Linked DNA regions of Oryctolagus cuniculus. The protein of the gene in region 2 purifies or fractionates together with the protein of the main gene of each other region. This does not show direct contact. Links are inferred from orthologs where the notes say so. Each region holds a gene or a part of one and is shown on either strand. Other genes may lie near its edges.

Evidence for each region. Proteins that work in one complex are often made in the same cells at the same time.
Region 1: the proteins of DNAJC7 (region 2) and VPS13C purify together in Homo sapiens (co-immunoprecipitation; 4 studies listed by BioGRID and IntAct, counting the BioPlex papers as one, with this or other methods). This does not show direct contact. The link is inferred for Oryctolagus cuniculus from reciprocal best matches to the Homo sapiens genes DNAJC7 and VPS13C.

The regions. Positions count from the first base shown.
Region 1 is NC_091443.1:85,081,145-85,088,746, reverse strand, and holds the start of VPS13C (intermembrane lipid transfer protein VPS13C), read left to right. Parts: upstream 1-2,830; 5' UTR 2,831-2,959; coding exon 2,960-3,059; intron 3,060-7,602. UniProt on the Homo sapiens protein: Mediates the transfer of lipids between membranes at organelle contact sites. Necessary for proper mitochondrial function and maintenance of mitochondrial transmembrane potential.
Region 2 is NC_091448.1:20,736,697-20,744,447, reverse strand, and holds the start of DNAJC7 (dnaJ homolog subfamily C member 7), read right to left. Parts: upstream 4,193-7,751; 5' UTR 2,714-4,192; coding exon 2,637-2,713; intron 1-2,636. Other genes in the region: NKIRAS2 (NF-kappa-B inhibitor-interacting Ras-like protein 2), read left to right, coding at 7,228-7,321, 7,573-7,751. UniProt on the Homo sapiens protein: Acts as a co-chaperone regulating the molecular chaperones HSP70 and HSP90 in folding of steroid receptors, such as the glucocorticoid receptor and the progesterone receptor.

The DNA.
Region 1 (7,602 bases), on a different chromosome or scaffold from region 2:
GCTGTCCCCTGTACTAAAAATTTTTAGCTTACTTTTCTGAGGGATGTTTTATTCTGCCATTATTCAGAGTGATATTTCTGAGAAATAGTAGCCCAGCTGTGATTAAATGTAATTACTGAAAGAGAAAATATGACAGTGCTCGGGGAAGCAATGAACAGTTGCTGTGTGCTTTAGGGTAAGTCATTTAACACTCCTGAGCTTAAGTTTTCTATAGAGTGTGGACAATACCACCTGCATTACTTACCTCACAGGTCTTTTTGTGATCTGTGTAATATGCCTGCGTTGGCATATTGGTAAGATTATTGCTCATGAGGTGGAACTGAAAGATAAAATTCAGGTTAAGTATTCCTAATACAAAATGCTCTGAAATCTGAAACCTTTTGAGTGCCAACATGACAGTCAAAAGACCTTTAGATTAGGTCTTGCAGCATTTCAGTTTTTTGTTAGAGAACTTTGGTGAAGTCTATGTAATTATTTCACTACCCCCCAAATGCCAAAATCTGAAACACTTCTGGTCCCAACCAGTTTTGGATAAAGGATACTCAGCCTGTAAAACGAAATGAGGCATATAAAAAGCACATTTATATATTTATGCTTTCAATTATCACACAGGCATTAATAGAGCTTATGTCTCCCACTAGATGATGCCATCCCACTGCCCAGACCAGGCTATGAGGCCTGTACCATCTCCTGCATGGTTATGGTATTGTTACTCACACATCCTTGCATTGGTTTTCCTTAAGCTTTTTTTTTTTTTTTTCCTGAAGCTTTTACACATGCCTTATTGCGACCAGAAGAGTTTCTTTACACTTGCCTCTGTGCAGAGAAAGTGTGAATGTAAAAGGCTGGGAGATTGCTAGGGAGTATCAGTAGAAATAACTTGGGGACACATTCAAGAGGGAATTCTGAACACTGGCAAGTTCCAGTATTTTTTAAATTTATTTACTTGAAAGTCAGAGTTACACAGAGAGAAGAAGTAGAGAGAGAGAGAGAGAGAGAGAGAAAGAGAGAGAGAGAGAGAGAGAGAGAGAGAGAGAGAGAGAGAAATCCTCCATCCACTGGTTCATTCCCCAGTTTGCTGAAATGGCCAGAGCTGTGCTGATTAGAAGTCAGGAGCCAGGAGCTTCTTCAGGGTCTTCCACGCATGTGTAGGGGCCCAAGGACTTGGACCATCTTCCACTGCTTTCCCAGGCCACAGCGGAGAGCTGGACTGGAAGAGGAACACCTGGGACCCAGTATGTTCTTGAGCAGGTGACTAAGTTGAGGTCAGGTGTGCTTTGGGAAACTAATTCTGATGTCAGCATGAACAAGGCAAATCTGGAGACTGGGAGAACCATCAGGGTGACTGCATGGTATAGGGAAGATATGAGAATTGGAAAAACAGAATAGATAGGTATGGCAGTCAATGCGTTGTGTGTCAAAGTGTCCCCTAACTGGGCGGTGCTGTGGTGTAGTGGTGAAGCCACTGCCTGCAGTGCTGGCATCCCATATGGGTACCGGTTGCAGACCCAGCTGCTCCACTTACAATCTGCTGTGGCCTGGGAAAGCAGTAGAAGACGGCCCTAGTGCTTGGGCCCCTGCATCCATATGGGAGACCCAGAATAAGCTCCTGGATCCTGATTGGTGCAGCTCTTGTTGCTGCCAAGTGGGGAGTGAACCAGCAGATGGAAGATATCTCTCTCTCTCTCTCTCCTCTTTCTGTGCAACTCTTTCGGATAAATAAATCTTTAAAAAAAAAAAAAAGTGCCTCCTAGGTATTTGTGTTAGTGGAAAAACAAATAGTTAAGGATTTCCCCCCCACTGTGGCAGGAGTGAAAGAGGAGGTGGATATTTATAAACCTGTTAATACTCTGGTTCCTTCTTTATTGTGTTTTTCCATCTCCAACACTTTCAGGAAATGTTCTATTTGATCCTGTAGAAGCCGATTTAAACAACAATACAGCCTTTCTCTTTCAGATCTACCCTAGCAAAGCATTTAATAAATCCTGTGTCTATGTTCAGCATTTCTTAGTTTCTGTTTACTGTCGCTCCACAGTTTTTTTGAAACAAATTTTAGAAAAAAATTTCCAGGGGGTGGTTGCATTTCACCACAGTTCCAGGACTTTGCGGGTACACGAGCTGCGCTTTGAATGGCTCGCCGGCCCAGGGACAGTTCCATGCCAGCATAGAAGAAAGTGACATAAATAACGGCTAACCCGCACTCACAGGGGAGAAGGAAAAAAAAAAAAAAAAAAAAAAAAGGGAAGTGCTCTGGTCTGCGAAGTAGCAGCTCTGGAAAGGGCTGAATCCGCAACTACCCCTGAGCAGTCCCCAAACGGTCTTCCATCTGGATGCGGCTCCGCTCCGCCTCCTCACCCCTTAGTAAGGTGTGTGTTCCAGAAGCCGAAGGCCGCGGAGACCTTGCCGCAGGCGGAGGGCAAAGTCGCAGGACAGGAAGCCGGGGTCTCCTTTAGTTTGCTTAGGAGACGCCCAGCGTGGGCAGCCGCGCACGCCGGCTCCGGGCAAGGCTCCCGGGGTGGCCTTCGCTCCGGCAGGGCAGTGACCTCCTCTGGCCCTAGGTCAGCAGTAGGTGACCGAGGGCTCGCAGAGCGGCCCCGTAGATGTCCAGGCGCCTAGGAACGCCTGCGCGCCCTTTTCCTTCCCGAATGTTCTCTGTGTCCTATAGGCCGCCCGGGAACAGCTGCTAAAGCGGGCCCTTAAACCAGCTTCCCCGGGGGCTCCAGCTGGCGGGGCCTGCTGCACCCCCGAGGCCGCGGCGCCCGGCCGGGGCCCACGCACTTCTGGCGCGCCGGCGGCGGCGGCGGCGGCGGCGGCAACGCGCCTGCGCACATTCGGGGTCACGCGCGCGGCGCGGGGGCGGGCTGGCGCCGGAGGGGCTGTCATTCGCGGCTCGGGTCGCCGCCCTTCGCTGCGCCCAGTGGGTTCCGGCTCCTCCTCCTCCCTCCGCCTCAGCCCCACCATGGTGCTGGAGTCGGTGGTCGCGGACCTGCTGAACCGTTTCCTGGGGGACTACGTGGAGAACCTGAACAAGTCGCAGCTGAAGCTGGGGATCTGGGGCGGTGAGTTGAGAGGGGCGCGGCCGGCGGCCGCGGAGGGGCCCACGCCGAGGGCTGCAGCGGGGGTCCGGTGCTCTCCACCCGCCGGGGACTCCAGCTCCGGAGCGTGTCAGGTGCGGGGCGCGGGGCGCGGGGCGCCTCTGTCCGCTTGTGTCTCCCGCAGCTTCCCGGGACTCCCAGGTCGCGGGGAGATGCTGCGGGGTCACGCCCGCGCTGTCCAGATTCCCACCTTCCCTGTCCCTCCGGTCCTGGGGTCCGTGCCTCTGCCTTGCTCTGCCCTGCCCACCTCGGGGGTCCTCCCGTTGCGTTCTGCCCGGCCCCTTTAGCGCCACAGCCTTACCAAAAAAAACCAACACCAAAAAAACCAAAAACCATTTCTGCGTGCGTCTCGGTGGAGTGACCACAGCTTCGTGACCATGGCCCAATAAAGTGGCACCCAGGAAGAAGAAGAGGAAGGTTGCCTCCCTGTTGTCTTCTTGGTAACAGGCACTGCAGGGTTTGAGAGGGGAGAGACGGGAAGAGCCTTCAGAAAGGCGTGCCCGTAGGGATTCCTACTGTTAATGCTTTTAGCTTTTGAAGAAGTCATTTCTTAATACTTTTCTCTTAACGTGAAGAGGCTTTCAGTTTTGTTTTGGAAGGATAGAAATTCAAGCCGTGACCAGCATCATCGTTAATTAGGTGCCTGCTTGGTTGCATGCCCAGGAATTCGTGCCAACGTTTTTTATCCTGGAGATTAAGTGGGGAAAGCTAGACAGTCAGTAGTATGTTTGCTTATCCTGCAAAGAGCTAAATTAGTTGCTTGAATTAACGTGTTAAGGTTTGGGGATATTGGATACTTTCTCACTCTAAAAAAGTTTGGCGGATTTTGTCACCTTTGGAGAGAAACCAAAACAACTGTTTAAATGAATGAAACTGCCTTTAATTGATCAAGCAGTAGTTACATACCTGTGCTGTTCATTAGCGGCCACTAACCACTGTAGCTAGTGAGCACTTGCAGTGTGTGGATCTTTTGAATTGCGATATTCTACAAGCATAAAAAGCACAACGCTTTTGAATACGTTTATTTCTTTTAATGAAATGGGGGAAGTGTAATATTAATAACTTTTGTTGCGATGAGAATATTTGTATTGGGTTAAGTTAAATGTATTATTGAAACCCATTTGCCCTCTTTCTACTGTTTTTTTGGTGTGACTCTTAAACTTTGTAATTATAAAATTTGTAATTATACGCGTGGAGCATGTTTATGTTGAGCCGTACTGTAACAGAACCGTGAATGCTGCCAGGAACTGTGGAGAGGACCCAGGTCCCTGATCATATGATTGGTTCACGGTGGTTTGTCCAACAATGCATAACTTTGTTTACTCTTTCCTCCCACCACTAAATACAATGCAAAAGGAAGGGAAGTGAAGACAGACCTTTACAAATTAAATATCCAGTACCTTTTGGGGAGATCAAGGGTTTCTTTGGAATATTGGCAATGTTACCACATATTCCTTGTGGTCAGTAAATGTATTGAAATATGTGAAAGCCAAGGGTTACCAAATCTGCAATCTGAGAAAGCATTGGGTTTTGGACCTGGTAGGTTGCTGTGTTGGACAAATCATTTACTTTACTCACCTTAGTTTCTTCCTCTTAGTTTATGCTTCGTTAGTTTATTTCCCAGCAGATACTTGGCAAAGTCAGATATTTCTTGCTTGTCACATTGAGAGATGTGTGCTGCTGGTACGTACTGGATAGAGCTAGTGACACCACACTGTAAACGTCCTCGTATGCAGACAGCAGCTCTTTGCAGCAAAGAATTGTTCAGCCTTAAGTGTTAGTTGAGAAACCCTGCTCTAAGGAGAATACTCTTCTGCTTTAAGAGGGGGCCTTCTGGGTGTTGAACCAACTATCATAAGGAGTAAATAAAGGACTTAGGGAGTATGTTGCTCTTATGAAATGTATAACTTGAGAGAGAGAAGTCTTTTTTTTTTTTAAAGATTTATTTATTTATTTATTTGACAGAGTTACAGACAGTGAGAGAGAGAAAAAGAGAGAGAGAGAGAAAGGTCTTCCTTCTGCTGGTTCACCCCCACAAATGGCTGCTACTGCCGGTGCTGTGCCTATCTGAAGCCAGGAGCCAGGTGCTTCCTCTTGGTCTCCCATGCGGGTGCAGGGGCCCAAGCACTTGGGCCATCCTCCACTGCACTCCTGGGCCACAGCAGAGAGCTGGAGTGGAAGAGGAACAACCAGGACTAGAACCTGGCGTCCATATGGGATGCCAGCGCCACAGGTGGAGGATTAACCAAGTGAGCCACAGTGCCGGGCCCAAGAGAGAAGTCTTAGGAAGTGACTGAAAGTTATCAAGTTGGTAAGAATGCATGATCTTTGGGTAATCTCAGGAAGTTGCTTACCATTCAGAATACTGTAACATGATTTGAAAAATGCACACATTCATACATGTATAGGCACTGGCAATGAAATCTGCAATAGGCAAAAATTATTCAAATGGCAAGAATCAGAAATGTTGCCTTTATTTAATTGTATTTTTAAAATGTTTTATTTAGAGGTTGGCACTATGGCATAGCAGGTAAAGCTGCCGCCTGCAGTGCCAGCATCTCATGTGGGTGCCGGTTTGAGTCCCGACTGCTCCACTTCTGATCCGGCTCTCTGCTGTGGCCTGGGAAAGCAGTAGAAGGTGGCACAAGTCCTTGGGCCGCTTCACCCACGCAGAAGAAGCTCCTGGCTCCTGGCTTCAGATCAGCCCAACTCTGGCCATTGCAGCCATCTCGGGAGTGAACCAGTGGATGGAAGACTTCTCTCTTTCTTTCTGCCTCTGCCTCTGTGTAACTGTCTTTCAAATAAATAAATAAATCTAAAAAAAATTTAAATGTTTTATTTATTTATTTGAAAGGCAGAGTGATGACTGTGTGGAGGGAGGGAGAAGGAGAAAGGAAGGGAGAGAGAGCAACAGGGAGAGATCTTCCCAATTGCTGGTTTGCTCCCCAAATCCCCGTAATGGCTTGGGCTGTGCCAGGCTGAAGCCAGGAACCCTGAACTCCAGCTTGGTCTCCTGTCTGGGTGGCAGGGATCTAAGTGCTTGGATATCACCTGCTGCCTCTCAGGGCGTGCATTTGCAGGAAGCAGAGCAGGGACTCCAACCTAGGCACTCTAATACGGGACATTTGCCTGCCACGCAGTGTCTTAACTGCTGTTCCCAACACCCACCCCCCAGATAGTGCCTTTAAGTTGGAGCTGAGAAAAACAAACAAAACAGCTGCCATCTTTTTTCCTGTTTCTACTTTTTTTTTTCTTTTAAAGATTTATTTATTTATTTGAAAGGCAGAGTTACAGAGAGGCAGAGGCACAGAGAGAGAGAGATCTTCCATCCACAGGTTTACTCGCCAAATGGCTGCAACGGCCGGAGCTGCACTGATCCGAAGCCAGGAGTCAGGAGCTTCTTCTGGGTCTCCCACACCGGTGCAGGAGCCCAAGGACTTGGGCCGTTTTCTTCTGCTTTCCCAGACCATAGCAGAGAGCGGGATTGGAAGTGGAGCAGCTGGGACCTGAACCGGTGCCCATTTGGGATGCTGGTGTTACAGGCGGCTGCTTTACCCACTATGCCACAGCGCCAGCCCCAAAATATTTTAATTCTTTAAGTCTCCATCTCCTAATATGCAGAAAGGATGTGTAACATGGTATTTATGATTTAAATGATATGAAAATTCTTTATATTTGTTAATAATGCAGTACTGATGATAAACCTTGCAAAATGATGGAAAAAAAGCCTATTTTGTTTTATTTTGCTTTCATAAGTATGCTTCTTCTACCTTCAGCCTTTGGGAGTTTTATATCGTATATAGAGTGACAATTTTGTGTAGAGTTAACATTAAGTATATAAACATTTCTTATTTTACAAACAGATTTCTTAAAGGACAAAAAAAGCTTTTTGAATTTGAGTTTATGCTGAGACTACTTCTGTTACCTGCCAGCCAGTTTGTACATCAGGTTTTGAAAGGCTCAAAGTGCCTGGTACACATGTGCTGCCTACGCAGGCAGGCAGGATTATCTGGGTTTTTGTCTCCCAGAGACTGGTAGCAGGAGATAAATTGCATAGCCCTCAGCTATTTGCAAGGCGTCCAATATGTAATTGTTTTTGAGAGTCACACATTTGAGAAGGTATGTTGAAATGCTGTATCTTTTGTAATTTGGTTTAAGTAGTATTGTTGGATCACAGACCTTTGTCAGTTTGATTTTTCAGTGATTTGCTGTGGAAGGGCAGGAGAAGCCTCCACTCAGAACTCTGTTGTTCTCACTTGCATTGTACAGGTGGAATAAACACAGAGGCCATGATGTGCTGGGGGCAGTGCTTGGCTGTAGAGACCAGGAATCGGAACCTCAGAGTGTGTAGCTCTGCAAACCAGACTGAGCCTGTGCTGTTTCCTGTATTGTCCGTCCTCCTCCTGACACTTCTCCATCAGCTGCCAGATGCAGACTGAATTTCCCTTTTCAAAATGCCTGGGGCCAGAAATATTTTGGGTTTCAGATTTTTAAAACTTTTAGAATA
Region 2 (7,751 bases):
TGCTTAGGAGGCCCCAACAAGACAGACAGGAACTTGGTCAAATAACTCTCACCAAGCCAGAAGGAAAGGCCTCTGGGAGGGATGTTCCCATGCCTGCCTCTGCTGTGGCCACAGGAAACACCAAACCCGTGACCCCAGACCCTGCAGAGCTAACCTCCACCCCATCTCCAGCACTGGAAAACTGAGACAAGGATTTTTCACACCACAAGACTCCTTCTTTAAAAAAAAAAAAAAAGATTTTTAAAAATTTATTTGGAAGACAGAGTTACAGAGAAAGAGAGAGACATAGAGAGAGATCTTCCATCCGTTGGTTCACTCCCCAAATGTCCCCAACAGCAGGAGGCAGGCCCATTCGAAGCCAGGAGCTTCTTCTGGGTCTTCCCCGTGAGTGCAGGGGCCCAAGGACTTGGGCTATTCTCCACTGCCTTCCCAGGCAATCAGCAGGGAGCTGGACTGGAAGTAGAACAGCTGGGACTCGAACCAGTGCCCATATGGGACGCCAGCATTGCAGGCAGAGCTTTAACCCTCGGCACCACTGCACCAGCCCCCACAAAATCCCTTCTGCAGATGCTGTTTGTGGCAGAAAGCCACTGAATTATTTAATTCACTTAGTTTCCTTTTTATTTGTGCTTGGAAGTGCTACACAATAAACATGTTTTATCATATCTAAAAGAGCTCTATAGAAATAAATGTAGCATACAAATATAGTAAAAATGCATTTTCATAGTTTACAGTTGAATTTTTGTTAGCGGCAAATAAAATAGCTGGGCGTTTTACAATCAGTGACATCTTAAATTCATGAAATAAGGCACTTAACAGATGTCAACACTGATTTAGGTATACTGCTACCAAACCCCATAAACTGTACAACACATTCACACTACAGTTTTACCTCTTTTGTACAGGTATAATCTTCAATTTGGCTTACCAAAATTCTATAATGGGTCATACTCTAAGCTCTAAGACTGTGATTTTTCTTTTTCTTTTTTTTTTCCTGAGAGGCGGAGATAAAGACACAGAGAAGAAAGGTCCTATCAGCTCGTTCACTCCTGGCAGGGAACCAGGAGCTCAATTTAGGTCTCCTCCGTGGGTGGCAGAACTCCCTTCCCGAACCATCACCACCTGATTCCCAGGGTCTGCACTAGCCGGAAGCTGAGGGCTGGAGCCGGGCTGGGCGCACACTCAGGCACTCCAAGAAGGGCTGCAGGTGTCTCAACTGCCGGGCTAGACGCCTGCTCCCAAGGCTGCGCTCTTTTAAAGGGAAAGGACCGGCTTTAAAGCAAAACCCAGATTAGGGACACTCCGAACACCAGAGACTCACCCTGCGTAGGATGAGGTTTTTCCAGGACACAGTTCCGATTTACAACGCAAAGAACCACTAAACTTTCCAAGTACAAGTAAAGCAGTTTCTTACAGTTAATTTGAGAGCTGGGAGAGGTCTGTTGTATCGCTAAATACCAGAAAAGCAGGTAGCGCCACGAAAACTCAGATTTTGGACTGAGATTCGCTGCCTTTTCTGCTACCCCTGGAAGCCACTGCACGCTGTCAGGCCCTTCGGCTTCCGGCAGGTCAGAAACCGGACTACGACCGGCGGACTGCTCTCGGGCTTGAGCTCTGCGAGATCCGGGAACTCGTAACTCCTCCGTTTCTCACTTGCTGGACGGTAGAAACAAACCTCAGAAGCCTGATTTCAGATCTCATGAAATAACCCCAAACCACGTCAAAGCACCTGGCGGGCGGTGAAAGGGGCTGAGCGCCCGGTGGCCGCCCGGCAGCGGGTGAGGAGAGGCCCCCGAGCTTCCAGAAGCTTTTTCGTCGACTCTGCTGTAGGGTCAGAACACGTGTGACTGCCCACAACTGCGTCCCAACCCCACTTCCAGCACGCTGCCTTAGCTGCGGCCGGGATCCCGAGTGTTCTGGAAAACCACTCACTCAGCAGCTCCCCGGCCAGTCGGGGCTGGCAGCTGCCAGCCACTGCGGCTGCCCAGCAATGCCAACGGCGCCGGGCAGCGGCCCCCTCCTTGCCGCCGAACTTTGAGTGAGCACCTCGGCCAGGAAGGGTGGGGGAAGAGGGGTCTGACACGGGACACAAGCCCCCCACCCCCCTTCCTTCTGGCTCTAGCATGTCCGCCTTCTGAGGAAACCAGGGGTCGACCCGCTCAATCCCGCACTCCCACGTCCGCCTGGGACCCCGTGTTCACCAGGCTCTAATTACCGGGGGCAAGCGGGTGAGGAGACGCAAAGCGCAGACAGACAATGCCCACGGGCCGGCCCGAGGAGGCAGGGGTCGAGGGCGAAGTAAGGAAGTCGTCGCCGACGCCGCGCCGCCTCCCCCACCCCTCAGACCGACGCGGTGCCCCTCAGACACCCAGCCGCCACAATCAGGGCTTTATTCTCCTCTAAGTGGAGGATCCAGGCCGCGTCTCGGCTCCCCCGCCAGGCGGAAGCGGTGGGGGGGAGGCCGACCCCGGGAGCACCCTTCAGGGGGTCCACCGGGACTTGATCCCAGGTGCAGGGGGGGCTCGCGGAGGGCGGGGCATTGTCTCAACAGCTGGGGGCTGCATCCCGGCAGGGACAGGCTTCCGCGAGCCACAGGGCCGAGGCTCGCCCCCTCCGTGACCTCGCCACCCGGTTACCTCTTCGCTTCCTCGTCGTCCAGCAGCTCTGGCTCGGTCGCCGCCATTACCACATCGCACTCCGCGGCAGCCGCCATCTTACCGCCGGGACCAGAGAGCCGGGTGGGAGGCAGGCGGTGAAGAGCACTTCCGGTCGGAGCATCGAGCCGCTCAGCGGCGCTGCACCCAGAGGGGCTCCCTCGGGCCCGTCTACCAACGAGAGGCTCCGCTTGGGGCCAGAGCGGCCTCCCGCTCCCGGAGGTCCACGGTGGTCTCCGCGCCGGGGCGGGAGCCCAGGGACGGTTCCTGTGCGTAGGGGGCGCCACTTTACCCGTCTGTAGGAAGGGGGTGGTTACAAGGAGGATGTCGTCTCTCTAGGCTTTGGCGTGCCTCAGTAGTCCGACAGCCTCGTTGCCATAGCAACCTGCAGTCCTAGAGCGTCTCCCGGGAGGCTCCAGAGAGACTGGGGTGCGTGGGGACCGGGTTACCCAGACTCTGGGAGGGAGGACCTCCCACTGCTGCCTTCCCACTCTTGGAGTGTGTCCACCGCTTCCTCCCGGGAAAGGCGAGACACTTCGAGCCCGGTCTGCTCAGCTTTCATCGGTCCCGGGAAGCCCTGCCCAACCAAGCCAGGGAACGCAGGGCGTCTGCACCCCGCGCCTTTCATCCCCCGGGATCTCCAAGCACCAACTGGTTCATCAGCCTAATGACGCTGCCCTTTTTATGAGGCCGCTTTCAAGTCAGCCGCCTGGGAGTGCCATCTCAGCATTAAGCCCAGGGAGGCTGGCATGGCGAGGCGCCCGGGACCCTGCCCTGGAGTTTATAAGGCCGCTCATGGGGTGGGGTCTCCGTGGCCCCATGCCCCCATCTCATAAACGCTGCTCGGCACGCCGGTCCGGCCCAGTGCAGTCTGCGCTGGGGACGGCAGAGCAAGGGATACGAGCATTGTTGGAGCTGCATTAAATGGGGGCTTTCTGAGGCTATACTTGAAGGCGCAGAGGACCTAAGATAAGAGAGAGGCAGAGGAACTTAGGGCGAATCTGTCCCCTCCCTCCAGGAAACCAGCATGCGCCACAGTCCCTTTCGGCATGGTATCCTGCCCACCGCAGTGCTGAGGGGGCTGGAGAGGCCCGGTGGCTGGGAGGGGAGCGGCGTCCACCTAGCTAACCATCCAGTGGCTCTTTCCTCAATGCCCGCGCTGTGCAGCGCTGGGGACCCCGAGACCTGCTCCACACCTGCCCTGGTGGCTCGGTCCACAGTCCAGTTCAGAAGCCCACCCCTCTGGCCGGCGCTGCGGCTCACTAGGCTAAACCTCCGCCTGAGGCGCCGGCACCCCGAGTTCTAGTCCCGATTGCTCCTCTCTGCTGTGGCCCGGGAGTGCAGTGGAGGATGGCCCAAGTGCCCAAGTGCTTGGGCCCTGCACCCGCATGGGAGACCAGGAGGTGGCACCTGGCTCCTGGCCTCGGATTGGCGCAGTGCACGGGCCATGGCATCCATTTGGGGGTGAACAAATGGAAGACCTTTCTCTCTGTCTCTCTCACTGTCTAACTCTGTCAAATTAAAAAAAAAAAAAAAAAGAAGAAGCCCACCTGTCTTTGACCCTCTTCCTACTTTATGTTCTGAGCCAAATCAGTCGTTCCCACAGCTTTGAGTTGACGACTCTCAACTCCTGTCATCACTGCCCCAGTCTTCCGGGTTCCAGGCCTGGATACCCAACCATCTGCTGGGTATTTCTTGGGTGTTTCACAAATCCTCATGGATTTTTCTATTTATTTTTGAGAGACAGACTTCCCATCCGCTGGGTCACGCCCAATGCCCACAACAGGTGTGACTGAAGCCAGGAGCCGGGAACTCAATCCGGGTCTCCCACGTGGGTGGCAGGAGCTTAATTACTTGAGTCATCACTGCTGCCTCCCAGGGTCTGCACCCGAAGCAGGGCTCAGCAGCTGGGACCGGGACTCGAACCCAGGCACTCAGATAAGGGATGCTAGCTTTTTTCACCACTGGGCTAAACCTGCTCCCAGAATGGCCTCCTTAGAAACAGAAAAAAACAGACCATGTCAGTCCAGGGGCATAAAACCTACCAAAGGCTTCCCACTGCTGAGTTCAGTCTTCCACCAACCGCTAAGGCGTCCGGTGACTTGGCTTCTTCCCACGATCAGTGTCGAAGCACCTGTACTTAAGGAAATGGCACGGCTCCGGCTGCGGCTCCGAGGCCCCACAACACCCTCTCCCGCCAGGTCCCTCAAGGATCCACACGGGCGGGACCTCCTCCGCAAAGTCCTCACGGCCGACGCCTTTGGCTGTGCCCCGTGGCACCTCTGCGACAGCACCCACCATGCCGCACTCTGCCTGCTGGTTTATTTAGACGGCTAGCTCTGGACAGCGAAACGCGTCTGCTCTGTCCAGCACGTGGGCCAGCGCAGGTGCTCAGGAGACGCCTGACGAGCGAAGGAGTGGTCGGAGCGCTGGCTGTGCTGTGGCAGCCTTTAGAGCGAGAACGTGTGGGCCTCAGAGATGCCACACGGCGGCCCGCGTCCAACAAGCCCCAGGACCTTGGAATCTGGCGCGGAGGCAGGCCAGGCTCTGTCTGGCCGCCATCCTCCCGCCGGCCTGTCGGGGGCGCTGTGGGCCGCCGCCCGTTCGCCGCCGCCGGAACTCGCCTCGCCGGGCGGAAGCTGCGGGGGCGGGGCCCAACGGAGCGGACGTCTTGCCCCGAGGTAGAGGGGACAGCCTGCGGCCCTGCTGCCGCCCCTCGGCTGGGCTCTGGGCGCTCTCGGGGACCCGGCCGGGGATCTGCGCGCGGGGGCTGGGGGCCCGGGAGGGACGGGGCTGGGAGGCGGGGTCGTCCGACGCCGGGGTTGGCCTCCGCCCCGCGGCGCTCTTGGTGGCAGGTGTCTGCCTGTGCTGGCCTCTGTCCTAGGGAAATCTGCCGGGAAGGGGGTCTTTATCAGGAGCTTCTCCTACAGAGAATCCTGTTTGAGACCCTGTCTGGGAGTGATCTTTGCTCTCCGAGGTCGGGGGGTGGGGCATTTTGGAGCCGAGAGCTCTTGTCCTCCCGGGGCCTCTAGGTCTGGGCCTTCCCTTTGGGTCGGTCAGTCCAGGGCAGCACAGTGAATGGTGGGTCAGTCAAGGGCAGCACAGTGAATCTCCTTCCCGAAGCCTTTTCTCCGTAGATTGCTTCAGTCTTATGTCTGTTTTTAAAACTATGTGTTATTTATTTGAAAGGTAGGGAGACTCAACAGAAATCTCCCCTCCACTAATTGGTTCCCCAAATGCCCACAGGAGCCTGGGACTCCATCCAGGTCTCCCATGTGGGTGGCAGGGACGCGAGTACCTCAGCCATCACCTGCCTTCCACCGTGTGCGTTAGCAGGAAGCTAGAATTTGGAGTGGAAGCAGGACTCCAACCAGGCACTCAGATAGGAGTTGCGGGTGTCCCAAGTGATGGCTTCTTTTTACTGAATTTTTTTTTTAAGATTTTTATTTATTTGAGGGGGCCAGTACTGGCACAGTGGGTTAGAGCCCTGTTCTGCAGTGTGGGCATTCCATATGGGCGTGGGTTCAAGTCCCCGCTGCTCCTGCTCCAATCCAGCTCTCTGCTGTGGCCTGGGAAAGCAGTGGAGGATGGCCCAAGTCCTTGGGCCCCTGCACCTGTGTGAGAGACCCAGAAGAAGCTCCTGGCTTCTGGCTTTGGATCAGCTCAGCCCTGGCTGTTGTGGCCATTTGGTAGTGAACCAGAGGATGGAAGACCTCTCTCTCTGGCTCTACCTCTCTTTATAACTCTTTCAAGTAAATAAAATAAATTTTTAAAAAAAATTTTATTTACTTGAAAGAGCTCTCCCACCCAGTGGTTCACTCCCCAGATGGCTGTAATGGCTGGAGCTGGGCCAGGATGAAGCCAGGAGCCTGAGACTCCATCCAGGTCTCCCACGTGGGCGGCAGGGGCCCAAGCACTTGTCTTTGGGTGCAGTGGAGCAGCTGGGATTTGAACTGGGGCTCATGTGGGATGCTGGCTTTGCAGCCAGTGGCCTATCCCGCTGTAGCACAAGACACCCCCAAGTGGTGTCTTAATGACTGCTAAATGCCTGTGCTTCCCGGCTCCGTGTCTTGTCTGATGTGCCTCATCCTGGCCATGAGCTTCCCTGGAGGTTAGAGGGGATTGAGCGTTGTCCACGTGCGTCATACAGGAAGGCCAGTCAGCTTCCGTGTTTGCTCACTGCCCAAGGAGCAGGTGCTGCAGCCTGTTCCTCCCAGGTCTCTGGCAGACAGGAAGCTGGCGGAGCTCCTTCAGGGCCCGTCCTCTCCCCTGCCTGTGCTTCCCCTGACCGGTGACTCTCTTCTCCCCTTGTGGCCATGGCTGCCGAGCACCTGCTCTGGCCCGGTGCCGGTTATGCACCGAGAATAACAGAGGCATCCATGCCGCTTACTGGCTAGTAGTGCACGCAGGTGCATCAGCGCGCCGGGCCCTGGCTGCGGTGGGGTGGTGCCAAGCCCCTGAGGCCACTCATTGCAGCTCCGACTCCCAGACATGGGAGGTCTGCCCTGGGTTCTGAACTTCCCTTCCCTCACCTCACCCAGGGTTCTGCAAACCGCAGGGCTGAAGGCCGAGCATGGGGAAGAGCTGCAAGGTGGTCGTGTGCGGCCAGGCGTCTGTGGGCAAGACCTCCATCCTGGAGCAGCTGCTGTACGGGAACCATGTGGTGGGTGAGTGGCGTTAGCAGACACGGGTGTGGTGGAAGACGCCGGAGAATAAGGAGCAGGGAGCAGAGCACACGAAGGCTCAGAGCGGTTTTTATACCTTGCACAGTGAAACCCCCAGTCCAACAACAGAACAGCTAGGGAGGCTGGGCATGACTGCCCATTCCCCGAGACCACCCAGCCCTGCCAGGCGCTCCGTTCCCTGGCCGCGACCCGCCCCCCTCCCACCTCCAGCACGATCTCTCATTCTGTCCCAGGCTCTGAGATGATCGAGACGCAGGAAGACATCTACGTGGGTTCCATTGAGACGGACCGGGGCGTGCGGGAGCAGGTGCGCTTCTACGACACGCGGGGCCTCCGAGACGGGGCCGAGCTGCCCCGGCACTGCTTCTCCTGCACGGATGGCTACGTCCTGGTCTACAGCACAGACAGCCGC